Linked DNA regions of Schizosaccharomyces pombe. Each later gene encodes a partner of the first gene's protein in a complex. Each region holds a gene or a part of one and is shown in the gene's direction. Other genes may lie near its edges.

The links.
Region 2: rox3 (region 1) and med1 share a complex: the UniProt entries of both Schizosaccharomyces pombe proteins name them as parts of the mediator complex.
Region 3: rox3 (region 1) and pmc4 share a complex: the UniProt entries of both Schizosaccharomyces pombe proteins name them as parts of the mediator complex.

Annotation. Positions count from the first base shown.
Region 1 is NC_003421.2:1,731,271-1,737,186, reverse strand, and holds rox3 (mediator complex subunit Med19), read left to right. Parts: upstream 1-1,874; 5' UTR 1,875-2,003; coding exon 2,004-2,420; 3' UTR 2,421-2,927; downstream 2,928-5,916. Other genes in the region: dao1 (D-amino acid oxidase), read left to right, coding at 1-581; CIA machinery monothiol glutaredoxin Grx3, read left to right, coding at 1,260-1,760; tef5 (translation elongation factor EF-1 beta subunit, guanyl-nucleotide exchange factor (eEF1B)), read right to left, coding at 3,522-4,086, 4,334-4,413; ribonucleoprotein complex protein Utp502, read right to left, coding at 5,036-5,758. UniProt on the Schizosaccharomyces pombe protein: Component of the Mediator complex, a coactivator involved in the regulated transcription of nearly all RNA polymerase II-dependent genes.
Region 2 is NC_003424.3:536,347-543,715, forward strand, and holds med1 (mediator complex subunit Med1), read left to right. Parts: upstream 1-1,563; 5' UTR 1,564-2,048; coding exon 2,049-2,282; exon of another isoform or gene 2,283-2,328; coding exon 2,329-2,976; intron 2,977-3,018; coding exon 3,019-3,501; 3' UTR 3,502-3,666; downstream 3,667-7,369. Other genes in the region: DYRK family cell polarity protein kinase Pom1, read right to left, coding at 1-1,379; translation initiation factor Tif5, read right to left, coding at 3,779-4,966; pol4 (DNA polymerase X family), read right to left, coding at 5,691-7,211. UniProt on the Schizosaccharomyces pombe protein: Component of the Mediator complex, a coactivator involved in the regulated transcription of nearly all RNA polymerase II-dependent genes.
Region 3 is NC_003423.3:3,514,375-3,521,545, forward strand, and holds pmc4 (mediator complex subunit Med4), read left to right. Parts: upstream 1-3,086; 5' UTR 3,087-3,114; coding exon 3,115-3,834; 3' UTR 3,835-4,091; coding exon of another isoform or gene 4,092-4,380; 3' UTR 4,381-4,422; coding exon of another isoform or gene 4,423-4,674; 3' UTR 4,675-4,715; downstream 4,716-7,171. Other genes in the region: cell wall glucan 1,6-beta-glucosidase Exg1, read left to right, coding at 764-1,987; TREX/TREX2 complex subunit Pci2, read right to left, coding at 4,092-4,380, 4,423-4,674, 4,730-5,227, 5,275-5,432, 5,499-5,630; EMP70 family endosomal transport protein Emp70, read left to right, coding at 5,987-6,185, 6,334-7,171. UniProt on the Schizosaccharomyces pombe protein: Component of the Mediator complex, a coactivator involved in the regulated transcription of nearly all RNA polymerase II-dependent genes.

The DNA of each region.
Region 1 (5,916 bases):
TCATTGAAGCTGGCGTCGAATTTGAAAAGAAAGAATTGAGTCACATCAAAGAGACTGTCGAAGAAACTCCAGAAGCTTCAGTAGTATTTAATTGCACTGGTCTCTGGGCTTCCAAATTGGGTGGCGTTGAAGACCCGGACGTTTATCCGACTCGTGGACATGTTGTTTTGGTTAAGGCTCCTCATGTAACAGAAACTCGCATTTTGAATGGCAAGAACTCTGATACCTATATTATTCCTCGTCCCTTAAATGGTGGAGTCATTTGCGGCGGTTTCATGCAACCAGGAAACTGGGATCGTGAAATTCACCCTGAAGACACTTTGGATATCCTTAAGAGAACATCGGCTTTGATGCCAGAATTGTTCCACGGCAAGGGTCCGGAGGGTGCTGAAATTATTCAAGAATGTGTCGGATTCCGTCCTTCTCGAAAGGGTGGTGCCCGCGTAGAGCTTGATGTTGTTCCCGGCACCTCAGTCCCCCTTGTTCATGATTACGGTGCTTCTGGCACAGGATACCAAGCTGGTTATGGTATGGCTCTTGACTCTGTCATGTTGGCTCTTCCTAAAATCAAATTGGCTTAGGTTTATTTTTTTATCACGTTTCATATTTTTTAGAGCATTATCTCCCCTCTTTTTATTAGGATAATTGGTCGCTTCATTTGAGGTAGTTTTTATACCAAATTTCGAACCATGTTTTATAGACTTAACGGATTTGTTAAAACGCATTTCAATTCTACGATACACGTGTACAAGTAGTTCATTAGCTTTTGAGAGTTGCTAAATCATGAGGATGAAATAGCATTAGAATGTTGTACATTACCTTTACGTTTTTTGACGATTATTTAAAAAAATTTACATCTTTTGAGAATAATCTGAAAGACTAAAGTGCTTGGCATCCTTAATGCGAGCAAGTAAGGTTCCTTTCCTTCCGTGCCCTTGTTGTAGAAGCATTAAAATAGACTGAGCTTGATTCATATTAACGGTGGCATCTTTGTAGCTTAATTAGTAATTTTTGGGCCTTTAAAGAAGTTTTTCAATCCTCAATCGCAATATCCTAAATTCACCTATCCGCGACCAGCCTACCGTTTGCATACCACAGGTTTTGGGTAACTATCTAAACCAACTGTGAGGGAATTTAATTGTAATAGTTTATTCATTTTATATTATTTTATTTTGCTTTAATCACAATAATTTGATTAATCAGCTGCTTTTCGTCAGCTCATACAAATTACCAAGAGAAAGGAAAGCTTACATCCCATTATGGCTAATAGAAAGATTTTTCTTATTACATCTCTTATAATATCGTTATTGCTTATTCATATCTTCATATTCAGTCCACTGAATGAACCTGAGAAAAATGCAAAGGCAGGACCTTTAGGTCTTTCAGATGTCTCAGTGCCATCTGCTCCTAAATTACCTGCTAAGGATTCAACAGATTTTGAAGTATTTCTTGAAAACCCTGTTATCATTTTTAGTCGTCCTGGATGTCCTTATAGTGCTGCAGCTAAAAAACTTCTAACAGAAACCCTTAGATTGGATCCTCCAGCAGTGGTTGTAGAAGTCACCGACTACGAGCATACTCAAGAGTTAAGAGACTGGCTTTCTTCCATTAGCGATATATCTACAATGCCCAACATCTTCGTTGGTGGTCATAGCATCGGTGGATCTGATTCGGTCCGTGCTCTGTACCAAGAAGAAAAACTTCAGTCTACTTTGGATGAATGGACACATAATAAAGTTTTAATTTTACCTACCGACTAATTTTAATTTTTCAATATATGTTTTGATGCAATTTATTAATTACAATTTATGTTAAATCGATTACCCTTGGAAGTAACTCAATAATTATACTAGCCAAGTATGCTATAGCTTCTTTAAACCACCAACCACTACTCCAAACTATCCAGCTAAGCAACTTAGAGAGTAAAGCATTCATTGCATATATATTTAAAAAATTTGAATGCAATAATATATTCTTATTGTTACATTGGTCAATTTATTTGCATGGCGCAAGCTCCTGAATACCACTATGTAGGTAGTGTAGACTACCAACCGACGAGGCCTTCTGCCCATCAGAATTTAATAGAGCTTTATGGTCTTACGGAACTTGCTAAAAAGGTTGGACGTGTCGATGAATTTGGTAACAAGAGAAAGATGCGTCGTTCGTACAAGGCTTACATCCAAGACTTGCCAGGTTATAATGAAATTCTTCGTGATAATACTATAAAACAATGGCTTACAAACCCTATTCGAGAAGAAGTTCCTATTGACATTGAATTTTTACATCATGTGTTCTCTGTAGAGCCAGGCATTATTCCAGGTTTTAATCCTAAAGTGTTTGGCCTTGAAGACGACGTTGTAATGGGCAATGTTAGTCGTGATTCCTCTCAACCTCGTAGTCCAAGTCGTAGAAAGAAGTAATTGATGAGCCATCAATTGCTCATCAAATCCTAGAAAGCTGTGAAAGTTTGCTTTAAAACTGCAGGTCAAATCCTTAATGCTCTTGCCGAATTTTACTAAACTTGTTGCTTTTACTGAAACTTGTCGATTCTGCTTTCCATTACTCAATGATTGTACTCAGAAGAGCGATAAATATTTGAAGCTCTTTCTGCGGGTTCAGTTATCTGCTGTTTTCAGAGATTTTTCATCGTTTCAAAGCATGGAAACAATACCAAATGATTTAATTACTCTTTAATTTGCGGTCTAGAAAACTTATTTATTACATGGCGTTGTTTCGTTTTTAAAATTCATCTTTGTTTTCTCAGGTTTATTCCTAAGAAGTCGCTTTTAACTTCAATAGTTTAATCTCGGTGATTCTACTAGATTCTCAAGAGACAAATTACTTAAATTCTTTTTCTCATCTACTGTTTAATGTATTCTTAACGTTGTTAACTGAATCATATTAACTTATGTTCTATATGTTGCTAGTTGTTTTATTCATTTTAGTAATACATTTTCAAAGTTATTTTTCTTCATATACATTTCATCGTAAAGAGTATTTTCTAAATAATACCCAATTTTGAGAAGTGTAAAACAATTGTCGAAATAGTAAAAATATGAGTTGATCTACGCAGGACTGTTGCAAAGAACCGCAGCATAAAAAAATGGTATTGGATCATCCAAATTAAACAGATTGTTTCACTTACTGCCCATACATTACAGTCATCAATCGTAAATACCCGACTGGGCTTTAGAGACGTAATTTCAGTATTCATGATTGATGCAAAAAAAATAACTTGTCATACATTTCTATGTCAATTACCATTGCTTGAATTGCATAAAATACACCGTTCGAACCCCATATTTCTTAATTATACAGATTTACACGCTTACAACACGATTGAGGTAAAAAAATCGTACTTTATGAAACAATCGATAGATATAAACCAAAAACAAATTTAATTATTTGCTTTCCCATATCCACACATTCCCCTCTAACATTAGAATATAGAGGAGAAGATCCTTTTGTAATTCCTAAGGACCTCCCTGATAAACGGAAGAACGCTTTAGTTGTAAAACAACTTACAACTTGGACATAGCGGCGATATCGGTAGATTGGACGTAATCTTCGAAACCCTCAAGCTCCTCTTGAAGAGCTTCCAAGGAAACCTTGTCGTCCTCAACAACCAAGTTAATTTGGAACTTGTTGACACCGAAACCAACGGGAACAAGTTTGGAAAGACCCCAAACAAGACCGTCCATTTGAATGCTACGAACGGCCTTCTCCAATTCGTCCATAGGGGTTTCATCATCCCAAGGCTTAACATCCAAGGTGACAAGAGACTTGTGAACGGCCTTGGGTTTAGCAGCCTTCTTCTTGTTGTATTCGGCAACACGCTCGGCCTTAATGCGCTCAGCTTCAGGATCCTCCTCTTCGTCAGAGCCAAAGAGATCGATCTCATCTTCTTCAGCGGCAGCAGCACCCTCAGGACCATAGGCAGAAACCTCCTTGGCGGTACCAGGAAGAGTGGCAAGGTCATAAGTGGCAATTTGCTTGTACCAACGAGCACCGTTGGGGTACTTGGCAGTATCAGGAGCAACGCCAACAGCCTTAAAGACTACAGCATCAGCTTGGCTAGGCTCATATCTATAAAACGTTAGAAAGGATTTGGTAATTAAAAAACATCAAGCTCAGTGAAAAGATACAAACAAAGCATTTTCACGTTTTTTGTTAAAAGACGGCTATCGTGTCTAATTGAGAGGGCTTTAAAAAATAGTCTTTGCACTTGTAGATATGCCATAGGGAACTTTTAACAAAGGAAAAAAAATACGATTTGTGATCAAATGGTATTTCACTATTATTTTGATGCATTTTCCGCACAAAAATGACTTACCCTTCAATGAAAGACTTGTCAAGCAAGAAGTCGTTAAGTTGCTTAAGACCAGCGTCAGAGGTGAGATCAGAAAAACCCATTTTTAAAGTAGTTGGTTGTTGGCAGAAAATTTTAGAGTAGTTTGTCAAGAGTTATGGAGGTTTTACTTATGTTAATAAATTAATATTATTTCAATTTTTTTGTTAATATATACAGCACTACACTAATTGATATTGGATACAATGAAAAAAATATTGCGCTATTACAAAATATCAAAAATTGTCTTAACATTTGATATTCGAGAAGATGAAAAGAAATGTAGAACTATAAATTTGTTGAGCAAACCAACAAATGGCTTCATGATTAAATTATGGGCATACTTTCGAATGAACACGCTAAATATACGATACGACTGCAGGTTAGTCACACAATCTACAAATACTTACAAACTTGGTTTGTTTATATACATGTATGGTGTATCCATATTATTTATGTATAGATTAAAACTAAGTAAAAACAATTTCCGAATTCCAACACGTACCCATAAAACGATAAAGCGTCATTCTCATGGCACCAAATATTAATATCCAAGGAACCAATAAAATATAAAGGAAAAAAAGTAGAGCTTTGTAAATTGATCAAGACACTCTATTTATTATGATCAAAAGAAAACAGAAGTTATGCAAAAGGAATGATTTTTTTCTTACAGAGGTATTCCCGATTTTACCGAGATTTGCGACTAGTTTTTCTTGGGCTTTCGGGGACAACAAATTTAGGTAGAATTTGTTTTTCCACCTCTTGTTCCTCTTCTTCAGAAAGCATTTCATCTTCCGGGATGACAAAGTCATGATCAATGTGACTTTTTCTAGGTGATAATTCTGCATTTGGCGACAAAGAAGCTTCCAAATTGCTTTCATCAAACGCATCGGCATTTGCTTCCAAATCATTGTCCATGTCATCATTTTCTGCTTCATCAACTACCTCTATATCGTAGCCTGCTTCATCCACATCCTCATCGATGTAATCGTTTTCCTCCTCTTCTTCTCCATCTTCACTCGAAAAATCAAGTCGACGTTGCCTCATCTCTTCCTGAGATAAAACCATATTTAATTTTCCGGACAAAGAAAAAATTTTAGTCATTAAATGAGCACTTTGTACAAGCTTTTCATGTAACTGAACAAGTGAATCCTGCAAATCCATGACGGTGGTCAAATATCCACCATGTGTAACAATAATCCAATGCAACCAAATCGCAAGGGATGGCTGCATATTTATCAACATGGCTGGGATTAAAGTTCTAGCTAAATCAGCCGCAATAGTACCATCCATATTGCGAACAGTGTTGGATACAACACCAACATCAGAGCAATTCAAGCATTGCTCCAGCAAATCTTTCGAATCTGCATTTTCTTCAAATTTGATAATATTACCGGTTGTGGCAGCCATGGTTGCCTTTCTACCGCAATTTTACCTCCAACTGGTGGTGGGTTGAGGATAGAAATTTGGTGAATACAAACTGTGCACTACTCTCAAAATTTTACTCTCGTACAATTCGAACTTCGCTACTTTAGCAATATTCCAATAATTTGATAAATGAAGAAATT
Region 2 (7,369 bases), on another chromosome or scaffold:
GGTACGTCAGGGGCATCCTCGTGTTTAGCTTTACTTCCTTTCTTCATACGAGAAGAACTTCTCGAAAAACTCAATCTGCTAAAAAAGCCACCTCTTGAAGATCTACCTTCTTTGTTGGAAGATTTCTGTGATTTAGACTCATTTTGGACAGTATTCCCATGTTTAGCTTCATGGTTACGATGCCCATCAACGTTTGTCTTCTGAGAAACCGCTTTAGGAGCAGCTTTCGGATCAGGATTTCTACTGTCGGGATGAACTTGAGATGATGTAGTAGTATTATTGTGATTATCGGATGAAACAGGTTTGTTGTTATCGAAGACAGAGGGGGTAGCAAAAGAGTGTGATTTGGTTTGTGATCCTACATGTGAGTGATTATTTTTAACATTAGAAAGGGTTATTTGACTATGGGGGGAAAGTTCTTTGAAAAAAGAATTGGATGTCTTCAAAGGGGATTGGATTGTAGAAAGATTCTTCGATTCTGAACTTGATTTCGTAAGGGATCCAGATATATTTGCTTTAGGATGTTGGTGATCAGTGGAATGACCTATATTAGGAGGAATAGTTGGAACAGGAGGAATTCCAGACTTATTTCCAATAGAAGCTGCTCTGGGATGTGAAGTAGAATGGAAGTTAGTATGACGCCAACTACCGGATCTCTTTGGAGCCATTGAAGCATGGTATGCATGGTTCCCCGAGGAAAAAACGCTAGATTGTAAAGGAACGGATGATACATCTTGTGTAATAGATATAACCCCACTCAAATGCCCCCCATTATTTTGCTGATTCCAATCACTAGGCTTTGATGAACGATTATAATATGATAAGGAAGTTCCAAAACTCTTAGAGTTCGATATTGAAGATGTCCTATGATGTGAAGAAGTATTCAACGACGAAGGATTGTTCTGCTGAGATGACTCGAAATCGATTGGGTTATTACCAATACTTATGTTTGACAAACGGTGTATGGAATTCCTCGGACTGTTTTTCTGTCTATAATCGTGATCAAAACTACTTCGGAGTAAACCATTGCCAGTCGAGTGGTGTATAGTAATAGCATGATTATCCATAGATGAACCAACTCCCTTTGGTTCAACATTCATAAATAACTCATCTTTATGCTCTTGTTCCGGAAAAGAAATGTTCGTATTTGAGGCATTCGTCGAAGGACTCGTATCTGCTGCTGTACTGCTAGAACTCTGGCGGTTTGGACAAATATCGTTGGAATAACTACCAACGGCAGAAAGTTCAGATGGGTTTAATAGTTCAGATTTTATTCCGAACATGTTTGCGCTTTTCCGGTTTGATGTATGAAGTTTAAATAATGCATCCGTATTTTCGTCGCCCAGAGAAACCGCTTTTTGGGACTGCAAATAGCCCATTTGCAAACTTTGCTTCAAAAAGCCAAAATTCTCACTATATTACGCTTTTACTGGCTTTTTTGAAACAAAATATTGTTTCTATAAGCTCCCTCCTTCAGTTACAGTCTCTTATCTTCTTTAAAATGCAAACTAGTAGCAGTACGTTCGTGGCTAATTAAAGCCGCGCTACACCCTGCATATCAATACCAACCACTTCTGAAAGGGCACGCAAGCTGTAAATGAAACATAGAACGCTTATTGATTTGTGCACAAATTTTACCAAAAAGAAAATATTTTATTAAGATTTACTGCATATATATTTTGATGCTTTAAAAAGAGTTTGAGTGAACATACTTTGGGTTTTTTTTAGTCCAAGGTTTAAAATTGGTTTTCATTTGTATACATATAAAATTCCCCATAACTACTGTTTTAACCCTCGTTATAAAGATAAATCAATCACACAGACCTTCCCATTGAAACTAAGTTTTAGGCGGTTCAAAATTACCTACTTGTTTTTGCAATTAATGCGTTTCTAGCAAATAGTTTGATGGCAGTAAAGGCTTCCTTTTTGCAGAACAAATTAAATTGCTCGCTGAACAGACATAAAATTGCGCTTATATACAGTGTTTTAAGCTGATTAAATACGAAATACACGACTAATTTACTAAATCTTCTTTAATAATCTTTTCGATGGATAGACCACATCTCTTTTCTGAAGTTCATTTCCGTCGAAACGCCTCTAACCCCAATCAGATTAACTGGACGCGTTATTGGATTGATTGTCTATCATCAGTTCCTTGGAATGATATCTCTGTAACTGGATTTGAATATTTGGCTAAAAAGTATGGTCTGGAGGTTTTTCAAGACTCCTCCAAACCCAATGAAGTGGTCCTCAGTTTAGCTGGAAAAATAATTTTGATCGACGTAAGTTTAAATCCTGTACATAACCGTTTTACTAATTAGTATCTAGATCACTGTTCCCATAAATGCGTCTCCAAAAGATATCAACGTTGTTTTGGCTTTTGCAAACGCTAGTGGTGAGCAATATAATAATCCTGTTGCAGAAAAATTACTTAAGGATGCAATTTACAATTGCAATACCCCACTATTTGAAAAGAATGTCAAATGGTTGGCTACCTTTGATCACTCCTCTCCTTCGGTCCAACAAAGTTGTTTCCAATATTTAGACTCACTATCCTCTTCTTTAAATGCTATTTATGAAGCAGAATTATCTTTGCTAGCACAAGAAGAAAATGTTATAATGCATGGAAACGGAAAGCCTCTCAGTAATTACGAAGGACAACTTGGTTTGCGTATTGTATACTGGAAGCTTTTGGATAAAACCTATAGCACTCAAATTTTTATGGATAATTTGTCTCATGAGTCGCTACCTCACTTGTTATTCGGATATAATTTATTAAATTCTCCTCCTATCCTCCAATCATCAAAAATTAATTGGGCACTTGAAAATACTTTGACACCTATTCCTACAACAATGGAACTAGTTTTTGATGATATCAATTTAATAATACCAGAGCAGGGCGTCAAACCTTTACTTGATTTGCTTCATGTCCATGACATTACCATTCCTTGGCCTGTCCAAAATTATAGTCATATGGTAAGTACTTTCCCTAAATATCAACTTAACTAATTTCACCAGCTTGGTTTACCTTCAAAATCAACCGTGAACTACAAATTCATTAATAAAAATCAAGCCATCCAGCTAACAGGGTTCGATGTTTCCGCACGTTCTTTGCGTCACGTACCGTTTCATCATCCCAAGCAAATTCGAGGAATACTTGCTATTGTACGCCAATATTTATTATTACAATTGATTTTGGAAAATATCAAATCAGCAGATTTAGCAGAGACTGCGGCATCTTCCTCCCTTCACCTCTCTCTATATTTTAAGGAGCATCCGATCGTTCATGCCCAATATCAAGAAATCAACAAACTGAATAATTCCGAACAAATTATCATTGTTCTATCCGTATTGTCAGATGGAAGACTGAATGTTGATTATATGTCTAGTGGTGGCAAAGAATTGTCAAAACAACAGTCTCATGTTTTTCAAAAACTTATACAACAAACATGTAACATCGGACTTGCGATAGAAGTGTTTATAAAGAAAGTCGTTAATTAGAATTTCATGCTAGAAAAAGACATTACTAATCAGTTTTAAAAATCTTTAGTAAAATGAAATTATGGAATTAGTTGGATGTTTTGAATAGTATAAATTGAACACTTTAAAAGGCTAGCCTATTTTACAAAAATCAGAACACTTTAATAGATATATTCAACTTACGAGAAACTAATTTGCTAAAACTTGAAAGAATCAGCTTAATATTTTAGAGAACAGGATTGTAAGTTATTCAATTCTCAAAGCACAAATTGTGGTAGAGAGTAAAAAGAGGCCGTTCTTATTCGTCGTCGTCTTCTTCTTCTTCCTCCTCATCTTCACTCTCAGATTCGTCACTTGCTTCAGCCAACCATGTCAAAAAAGGTTCAGCAGCTTCATGAATCTTCTTACTAGTTTCACGGCTCACATATTTCTTGCTAGCCTTTGCTCCCCATTTCTCAAACATGTCATCAGAGACCAAGTCATTCTGATAAATCTCCAAGAGTACCTTGGGAACAACGTCGATGTGCACTAATTCAGTGTTTTCCATCAAACGTTCAAACCCACCAAGAAGAGCACGTTCATGTTTATCTGTCGTGCAAAGCTTTTTAAACAATGCACCATGCTTTTCAAACTCCCCAACGTAAGGCGAAGTAATAATACATTGAACTAGTACAACAATAGCTTTACTTTTATGATGAATATTCTCTTCCTTCATCTTTTTGTAAATTTCAACATCAGAAACACCAGGGTAGTTGTCTTCAAGCCATTCACCGAATTGATCATAACGGCTAGATTCCGCTTCTTCCTCGTCGCCACGTAAGTCACTCAAAGTGAGCGAATCTTTCATATTACCTTCTAACTCTTGAACACGAGCACGAACAGCTTCTTCACTGGTATCCACAGCCCAATCTTCGTCATTTACGACCTCAGCGGTAGGGAGTTCCGCGGCTTCTTGACGAATTCTACGAGTGAGTTCGTCTTCAGCACCATCTTCTTCCTCTGCAACAGGAGAATCCCTTTTATGTTTGTGGGACTTCTTTTTTGCAGGAGGGTTCTTGACGATGACACCAGTAAGCTTGTGACGACCGTCAATGACACCACGATAGCCACAAGCTTTACAATCATAGGAAATTGTCTGATCCTTCTTATTAATGCTTAATTCAGTTTCCGGATTTTGACAAGAAGCGCATAGCACAAAACGGCGGATAAATACATCCAACAGATCTTGAAGCTTTCCAGCATCATGAGCACCGTTCACAATGTAACGGTCCATGTCAGCAATAATGGTGGTTTGGGCGCCCAACTCAAAACCAAAAAATTTAGTTACATACAAAGGGGGTCTTCCCAACGCCTTAGCGATATCGGACATGTTCGGGATTACAGTCTTTATACCATTTCCCTTGCCTTCGATTTTAGATTGCAGTTTTGGCATTCTATAACGATAGAAGCTATCTTTGACATCACGTCGGATGTTAATGGTTGCCATTGTTATTACAGTCTCGATGATTTTTTTAGGTAATATAAAAAAATTTGCTCTACTTTATGTCTTTAAAAAGCGCTTAGTGCTTGTGACTTATTCTAAAATTTGAAATATCATAACAAGTCACTCTTTCGATAAAAAATCCGTATTATCTTTAAAATGTTCCTTTTATTTCAGATGGCCAGTCCTTGAACGTTGATTAAATGCACAGTTTTGTATTTTAAACGATGTCTCAAACATGAAAGTCCTTTGGTGATGGTTTTCCAAAGGTATGTGTCAAGGTAAGGTGTTTGGTAAAAAACAAAAGTTGCAGCCACAACTTTTTATTATTTTTAACCCACTCCAGTCACGTGCCCTAAGATGAGTAAAATTGTCATTTTAACGCCATGACGTTAAAAATCGTTATTCGTCTTTAAAAAAAATCCATATTTTGTAAACACAGCATTCGCATAGAGCTTCATTGTATACCAAACTGTTAGACCTCAATTTTCCCTCTCTTTAAATTCGAGATTTCTGATAAATTTACTTGTTTGATGTCTCATTTCTGTTCCAAGGATTTCGTTTCCTAATAGACCGATTGGAAAAATGTGTAAACATTTCAAGTTTTTAGCAAAAAATCTACTAAAAGTGTCGGGTAGCAAAGAAACATAAATTAAAAGAAGCTTCGTAAAACAATTTTCGAAATCGCGAGTTAGTAATGTGGCGATCTTAAGGTCAAGATAGGTATTTACTATCCCGTGTTACGAAACTTTGGTTCAATATACTCTAGGGAGAAATATCTAAAAATGTCTTTTTCAGCTTCCACGGGATCCTTCCACTCATTAAATTCGTCGGGACATATGTCTTTTCCTGTTTTAAGATTTATGATTTCGAACGAATCATAGCTTAGACCCAAATGAGAGTTAGCATAAAGCTTCAAATCGCGAAGAAAAAATATTCCTCCACTCCATCCTAATACGGCAGAGCCTATGTATGCAGGCGGCACTACTATAATATCAACACGCCTATTGATTTTAGAAGAATTTGACAAAATGACTGCTAGCATTACATAACCTTTCTTTCCTCCGCAAGAATGTTCCTGAACAGAAATTAGTCGGAATTGAAATTCCTCGTCTAAAATTCTTAAGAGAACATCCACCAGATGTTTTGTAGAATGAGTATGTGATGGACTCAACACCATATCAACGTCCGCTCCAACAGGCTTTCCCCGACGAAATCCACCTACTAGACAAGACTGAATTTTAATTCCATCCGGCATCCGTGAGACAATAGTTTCATAAATCTCCGTGGCTTCCTCAATGGTTACAGTTTTACAAAAATCTTCATAAAACTCCAGACCAACTTTTATTTGTTTGGTAAATGAATCTTTGTGCTTCCTAACTTGTTCAATCGTACGCCAACCCTTTTGGTACCATTCAGCAGCATGAGAAGCACCAACTCCGAAAATATTGTAAAATAAAAGCAAAATTTTTGAAGCCGGATCCTTCTGAAATTCCTCAGCTTCTTTTAAGGTTCCCGTTGATGCAAACTCTTTCCAAAGATGTACTATTTTGGGCCCACAACCGGGCATTTTCTCTAATTGTTCTGCGCTATCGATAGGCAAGGGAAAAGCTTTAATGGTTGCAATCGCCATTCCGTATGCCCTAGTCCTTACTGATTCACCGTTTACTTCTCTGCATGTTTTCAAGACACTTAAAGCATTCACAAAGGCTTGATTGACACATTTAAGCGGTGTCTTTCTCTGGCACGCATACCGTGGAATTTCAAGAACGTAAGGGTATTCTTTCGTAGTCGGATAAACTGATCCTTCTTGATCAACATTGTCAATGCTTTTAACTTCGTTATTATTTTCTGTGTTTGGAGTTTCGTGGTTTTCAAAATCGTTTGGTGCTTCAGTGTGCGAAGCAGGTCTTGTTGAAGGTGTGTACGGCGAGCCAACTTTCATCTCTGGTTTTCGATGCCATATCACATATGGATTCCCGGGCGTTAAAGATTCTTTAGGCTCGTTAAGCCAGTCAATTTTAACAATCAACTTACACGATACACACGTCTCTAACGGTGTTCCAATTGTTCTTAGCTCTCGCCGAACTCTGTTAATTTGACTGTAATTGACAAAAATGTAATCCGCTTTTGCTGCATCGTTTGTGAATTCTCCTCCAAAATTTACAATTTTTGATCGCGCATCTTCATATTGTGAATTGGACAAGCGATTATGTAGTACATAATTTGTACTGCTTGCAAGAATCTTCATTTTGAACAATTACAACTAAGGGAACAAAAAACGTATTGCCTATTAATTGACCTTGTAATAAATTTCGAGGTTACCCAATTCTTAGAACAAACTAATATGGAAAATAAAAACAAGCTAAAGGCACAATAAAGCATCTACTAAGTTACAAAGCAATGATA
Region 3 (7,171 bases), on another chromosome or scaffold:
GGTAACCGCTACCTAAATGTAAACAAAACAGTACGCAAATCCAAGCAGTAAACAATAAAACCAGCCATTAGGTTAGCCAATTAAGGAGTCAAAAAGTGTCCATATTTGTCGATCATTGTTTACTTGGTAGTGATTGGTTGTCAAATTTTCTTTATCGTAGCATACTCTAGAGCGCTCCGTGAGTTGAGAAATTGGTATAAAAGATACTCATGCCCAGTTCCTTTGTTCCATTGTTTAATTCAAAGACGAAAGCTCTAATTTAGATATCCTTTCTTTTCTTTCTTTACCTTTTTCTTTCTTTTTATTTTTAGAAGTCGCTTGCATTTTCTATTTTACACACTTTCCTTTACATACAGCCCGATTATCTGTTTTCTTCGTTAACATTGTTATCGTGAGTTTCAGTTTTTCTTCCTTTTTTTTTTTTTGCTGTCTGTATCGATATCCTTTTTAAAAGGAACTTCTTTTTTTTGAATCGGCCAATCACTCTGTCCAATTGTACATTGCTATTTTGTGTGGAACTGTTTTTGTACTTCCTTTGTTCTTACATTGCGCGGTCCATAAAGGTGCTCATATATATACCCCTTTTCTTTATACCTATTCTCTCTTCTGCTTTGAAGAACACATAAATATATACACACTCACTTGCTTTTCTCTTAGAATTTGAGACGTGCTTTTGAATTGAACTAAACTGGTTTCTTAACAGTTTTTCGTTCTCTTATTCGTTCTTTATATCTATATTCTATCTCTTTATAATATCATTAAAATGCTCTCTTTTACATCGGTTTTTTCTTTTTTCTTGCATGCATTGCTTCTCAAGACAGCATTTTCCTATGTAATCAAGCGAAATAACCCCGTTTTTGACTATACCTCGGAAAAAGTCCGTGGTGTAAACATTGGTGGCTGGTTGGTGCTGGAAAATTGGATCACTCCACAATTGTTTACTCAATTTAGCAGTATGTCGAATCCTCCCACTGATGAATGGGGCTTTTGTGAGGTTCTTGGTGCAGATGAAGCTGCCTCTCAATTAGCTGCTCATTATAGCTCATTCTACACTGAATCTGATTTCGCTACTATAGCTTCTTGGGGTGTTAATGTTTTGCGTATTCCTATTGGGTATTGGGCCTTTAATGTGGTAGACGGCGAACCATATGTTCAAGGGCAAGAGTACTGGCTCGATCAAGCTCTTACTTGGGCTGAACAATATGGCCTTAAGGTTTGGATTGACTTGCATGGTGTTCCAGGCAGCCAAAATGGATTTGAAAACTCTGGTAAGACTGGTTCCATTGGATGGCAGCAAAATGACACTGTAACTCGTACTCTTGACATTATTACCTATGTTGCTAATAAGTATACCCAATCTCAATATGCCAGCGTGGTTATTGGAATTGAGACGGTAAATGAGCCTTTGGGCTATGGTCTGGATATGGATCAACTTAAGCAATACGATTTAGATGCCTATAATATCGTCAATCCTCTTTCCAGCTCTGTTGCTACTATCATTCACGATGCCTATGTTGATCTTTCTATTTGGGATTATGGTGTTGTATCTCCTTCTTCATACAATCTTGTTATGGATGTCCATCGTTATCAACTTTACGAGTCGGATGAGTGCTCAAAGACTCTCGATGATCATCTTTCAGATGTTTGCTCCATTGGTGATTCCATTGCTTCCTCTCCCTACATTACTGTTACTGGCGAATGGTCCGGAACTTTAGCAGACTGCACGATTTTCGAAGAAGGAGTTGACTCTTCGACATTTATTGGACCAAACAGCGGTGATATTTCCACTTGGACGGATGAATATAAGGGAGCTGTTCGTCTGTTTATCGAAACTCAGTTAGATCAATTTGAACGCGGTGCTGGTTGGATTTACTGGACTGCTAAAACTGGTGGACCAAGTCCTACTTGGGATATGGGATTACTTATTGAATACGGCGTATTCCCTCAACCTTTCACTGATAGACAATATAGCTCTTACTGCGGTTAAGCAAAGCCATATCAAAGTTAAAAAAAAATTTTATCTATTCTAGCTGTATAACACTAATTTATATCTCACACATCGTTGTCATGTCCTGTCCTTGCATTTATCATCTACTATCATTTAACGTGCTGCTATCTACTATCCATTCAGTCTTTGTTTGTTTGGCATTATCTTTAGACATTAGTTTTTAATATATATTGTTGTTTTCGAAATCTTTTAGTTATGTGATATTAATATTTTGGTAGCAAGTTCCTACTAAATTAATATTTAGCTTAATAGTTTACGTTCAATATTGCATATTTTTTCGAACTCTATATTAACAGTAGCTGTACTTTGGAGAAAGTTGACCGAGAAATCTTTTTAAAGTTGTCCAATTGAATTTTCAATTATCAAGTATCTTCAGTTTACTTATATGAAATGTATTTTCTGCTCTACTCTTATAAGTCAGTATTGAGCCACATAGACGGACCACTTTGAGTTAGTCTCGGAAAAGCAAATCGACAGAATAGGTTTTCACTCAGCCACAGGTGACATATGTTTAAAATACTTTTATAAAAATTACATTTAAATTGAGCGATTTCTTGGTAAAGTAATATTACACATTTTCTGATCTGATATAGGCTTTATACGCATTAAACGAAATAAGCTCATTAAGCATTCTTTAACGAACTCGCTTTTTTAATTTAATGAGATATCTAATTCACTAGTATGTATTCATTATGTTGTCCCTAACAAGATCAAAATTGTTACACTGTAAATGTAACGTAGTTTGTCGACTAATTTATACGAATAATAGCTTTCTTCTTGCCCAAATTAGTGAAATTTGTTAGACAATTTAAACAATTAAAATCATATACAGAATTAAATTGACTAATTCTATTTAATCGAGAGTAACTTAAGTATTGTTCGTCGAGCGTATATACCAGCTGCTACTTATTGCCCTTGTGGAGGAGGACATTACTGTAATTTACCGTGTTTTAGCACATTAAACCTTTTAAGGATGTCTGTTTAACTAACGGTTACGGATGTTTAAGGAGTAAAAAGTCGAGTCTGCAAAATAACTGTAACCTGACCTACTAGATGATCGAGCAATTGTTGAGTAGTTAGTATATAGTAATCACATATGCTCCCCAATGGAATATCAAAGAGCCATTGATTCTATTGAAGAATGTCTCAATAAACAGTTAAGACTGTCATCCGAAAAGGTTGACCAATATGTACTAATAGAAAACTGGACCTCATTAGTAGGCCACTTGAAAACCTTACACTCTTTAATATCAAATTACACAAATGGTAGAGAATTACAAAATGAAATTAGTTCTTTGCTGAAGCAGGATAAGGAACTGGATTTACAAATTCAAGACTGCATGAGAGAAATGACCTCAATTTATGATACCCATCTTCCAAAAACAGTGTCGGGGAGAAAACGACAAAAAGTTAATGCTGAAACACTCCTTGATTATGGTAGAAAACTTTCCAAGTTTTCCTCTGCACCTCCTGGGTACAATCCCGAGACGGGTCAAGATGCAAAAGCTCCTGTGCATTATCCTTGGCCATCGGAGGACCAGATGCGAAAAACTCTGTTGTTTCAGTTTTCAACTAGCATGGTTCCAAATTTATCGGCTACAGCGTCCCAATTATTTTCTGAACAGCCTCCAAAGACGAACGAGCCAACGGAAACAGAAACAGAAATTGATGCGAACAAAGCCGTTGAAGAAAAAACTAAAATGAATTATCCTGCCTCTCCAACATTCACTACGCAAGAGGAAAATAAAGAAGTAGAATCGCCAGCTAATAAGGATGTCTTTGCAGGATTTGATCTTTTTGATCCAGAAATGGAAGAAGATTTTTGATTCTAAATTGTGTTATTTGTCAAGTGATATCTGGTATTTTACTTTTCTAATTATAGAGTTTTTTGCTTTGACCAAATACCCTTTTGTTTTAAAAATGAATAAAATTACGCTTTGCCGTTTAGACTGTATTTATTTAGCTTTCAGACTTCGCAAAGCAAGATGATTGAACACTGTTCCTTGCTTAACATTTGTCAATTCAAATTTAATTAATTTTAAGTATAATTTTCGAACAATCTACGTTTTCTGAGTTCATTTAATTATGCGTTAGCATGAAAAAATTCCTTTTCTGCGTGATCATTCCTTGCTATGGGCATAAGGCTCTCTATTACAGAAAAACCGAACGATGGGTCTTTTTTAAGGACTAAAGTTGATGATGCATGAATGATATAACCTTTAATATATCCTTGGTCAATTAGAGAAACACAGATACATTCGACATCGTCCATGTCATATGAGTTATCATTTGTACTTAAACGGGCCGCGGTTAACAAGTAAGAACCAGATACGTGCGGGGTTTTTTGGCTTTGCTCAAAAGTAAAAAGAAACCTTTTTAAATTAGTCGAATATTTTAAAAAATCTCAAACGTACACCTTTCTAAATAAATTCCTCCACAGGATGATTTCACATCTATCCAATAAAGTTAGATATATTCCTCGTTTGATAAACCATTTCCTCCTGGAATTGTCCTCCAAAGATAATCTGAACGACTTGATATCACCACTTTTCAAAGCTTTTATTAAAGGTTCGAATGCTGCAGTCAATTTGTATTTTTCTAATAGCCCTTTTGTTGGCGATTTTCCTAATATAAGTAAACACGTTGTAAGATAGATTAGAGAAAGCCTTTTTTGATTAGTAAATATAAACGAATCCTATTTTTGAGTAAAATAAAACATACCTTTTTTGATGATAACACTCATCAGGGCACTGAAGAAACGAAAAAAGTAGATGGTCCTTTGCCTGATGAATTTTGCGTTGATAAAGATGACACCTTCCTAAATAATAACGAAACGTTACTAATTCCGCCATTGTAGCGCGAGAAATATCGGCACCCGAAGAGATGACATTAGCTTGAATAGTTTGGCAAAGACGAATTTGCTTTAAGCGAAAATATAGTAAACAAAGTAAATTGGCAATACAGAATATCGCATCCTTCTTCGAAGGGTTAATGTTTTGTTGACGATCACTCAGTATACTATTGAACGTTCGTAAGACGTTCCTAGATGCATCGCTCACGTATTTCCTCTGTATGAACCCATTACCATCAAAAGAATCTTCTAAAGTAGGTGTAGATGTATCTAGCTGAAGGGAGAGCTTTACATAAAGCTTTGAAACGCGTTTTACAATTGTACACAACCATGCTCCATCGATATGGGAGAAGCAAGTTGTCAAGTTACTAGAAAAACAAAAGTGAGAAATAATAAACAAAAAGTTTTTAATTACCTATACAAGTTTTGTAACAATTCCCATTTTCGTTGATCAGGAGAAGATGCAGCATTTTCAACGTACTCAAAATAGGTAGTTACCAATTCCTTCCAACCTCTTATTCTTCCAAATTCTTTTTGAATGGTTCCGTTTAACTTATTTTTCCCCTTTCTATCCTTTATCACGGTTAGTTAATGTTATAACCTGAAGACAATTACTTGTAGTGCAAGCCTGCGACATACCAAAAAAAGAGTTTTACTGAGCTGTTGAAACGAGGGCTCTGATGGATCTAAAATAATACATTTCTCCAACGTATTGGAGTTTTTCTCTCCAACAGCGTTACTCAAAGTTTGCAGAAAGTCATTTAAGGACATTCCAACCTGTTCCTTCGCAACTTTTAGTACTAAACTTTCAATTATTATGTAACGATAAATAAGTTATAACAAGAAAACTCAACAGATATGTTTTCGCTTACATCGATGTTCTCCAACTCTCACGTTCTGAACCTCATATACGAATAACGAAAGTTAGCAGGTCGTAAACCGGTATACGAGGATTGTTAATAGCACAATAAAGAGACATACTAAGAGTACAGCAGCATTCCTCAAATTAAATGCTACCAGCATCAATCCCCAAAACCGTAGCACTTTATATTGATTTAGTCTTAATCATCTCGGTTTGAAAAGATTCTGTTTCGAGTCTTTGCCAAGAATTAGGGAAATAGTAAAATATGCTTTTACCTAGTATTCCCTCGTGTTCATTTAGCTTTGTTGTTTTCGTTTCCGTTCTTCTCCAAACCTGTTTTAGTTTTCAATTAACTCCCTTAAGTCCGAAAAACTATCCTCCCGGTGCTTCAATTGATACAACTGTCAATACCATTTCACCATTTATTGGAGATGGACGGGGTTCTGACATCTTTAATTATGAATGTACGTGGTTGATAGCTCACATGAAGGTTCATGTGTTTTTTTAAAAACTTTACAATTTTAAATTAGGAAAACACTATAGAAATATGATTTAATGAAGGATATAACATTTTCTCTCGAACTTTTTTGCTTGTTACTAACTTCACTTTAGACTACGATGAGCGTTTCCACTTCTGTCGACCAGAGAATATCGCAAAACAATCTGAGTCACTTGGAAGTGTGCTTTTTGGCGACCGTCTCTACAACTCTCCCATTGAAATAAAAATGCTTGAAAACCAGGATTGTGTTCCCTTGTGTGCCTCGATAATTCCCAGTTCAGATGTCAGTTTTATTAGAGATTTAATCTCCAAAAACTACGTTGTTAACTGGAACATAGATAATCTGCCCGTAGCAACATATTTAGAAGGGACTAACTCAAAGAACTACTCATTATCGCCAGGCTTTCCATTAGGCAAGAATACGGAGAAGGGAGTAATTCTATTCAATCATTATGATATAGTTATAGAATATCATACGACATCTAGTGACCAACACCGTGTTGTGGGTGCTTATGTAAAACCTGTCTCAAAGGAGTCTACTTTAGTTGATGGAAACCCAGTTTGTTCTTCGTCTTCAAATCCACAGTATTTACCGGAAGGAGCTGATCTTACTCTCGTGACCTCTTACTCAGTCTCTTGGAAATATTCCGATACTCCATGGGCTACCCGATGGGACAAATATATGCACATTGAATCTAGGCAAATTCGATGGATCTTTATTATCCATTCCGCAATTATTGACACATTTCTAATTTTTGTGGTTTCTATTATTTTGTACAGAACGCTAAATCGTGACATTAATAAATATAATAGCGCCTTTGTCGATCAAGAAGATGTTCAAGAAGATTTTGGTTGGAAGCTAGTTCATGGTGATGTATTTCGTCCACCTCGTAGACCCATGCTATTTTCTATCCTTTTAGGGACTGGTGCACAACTTCTTTTTATGAGCTC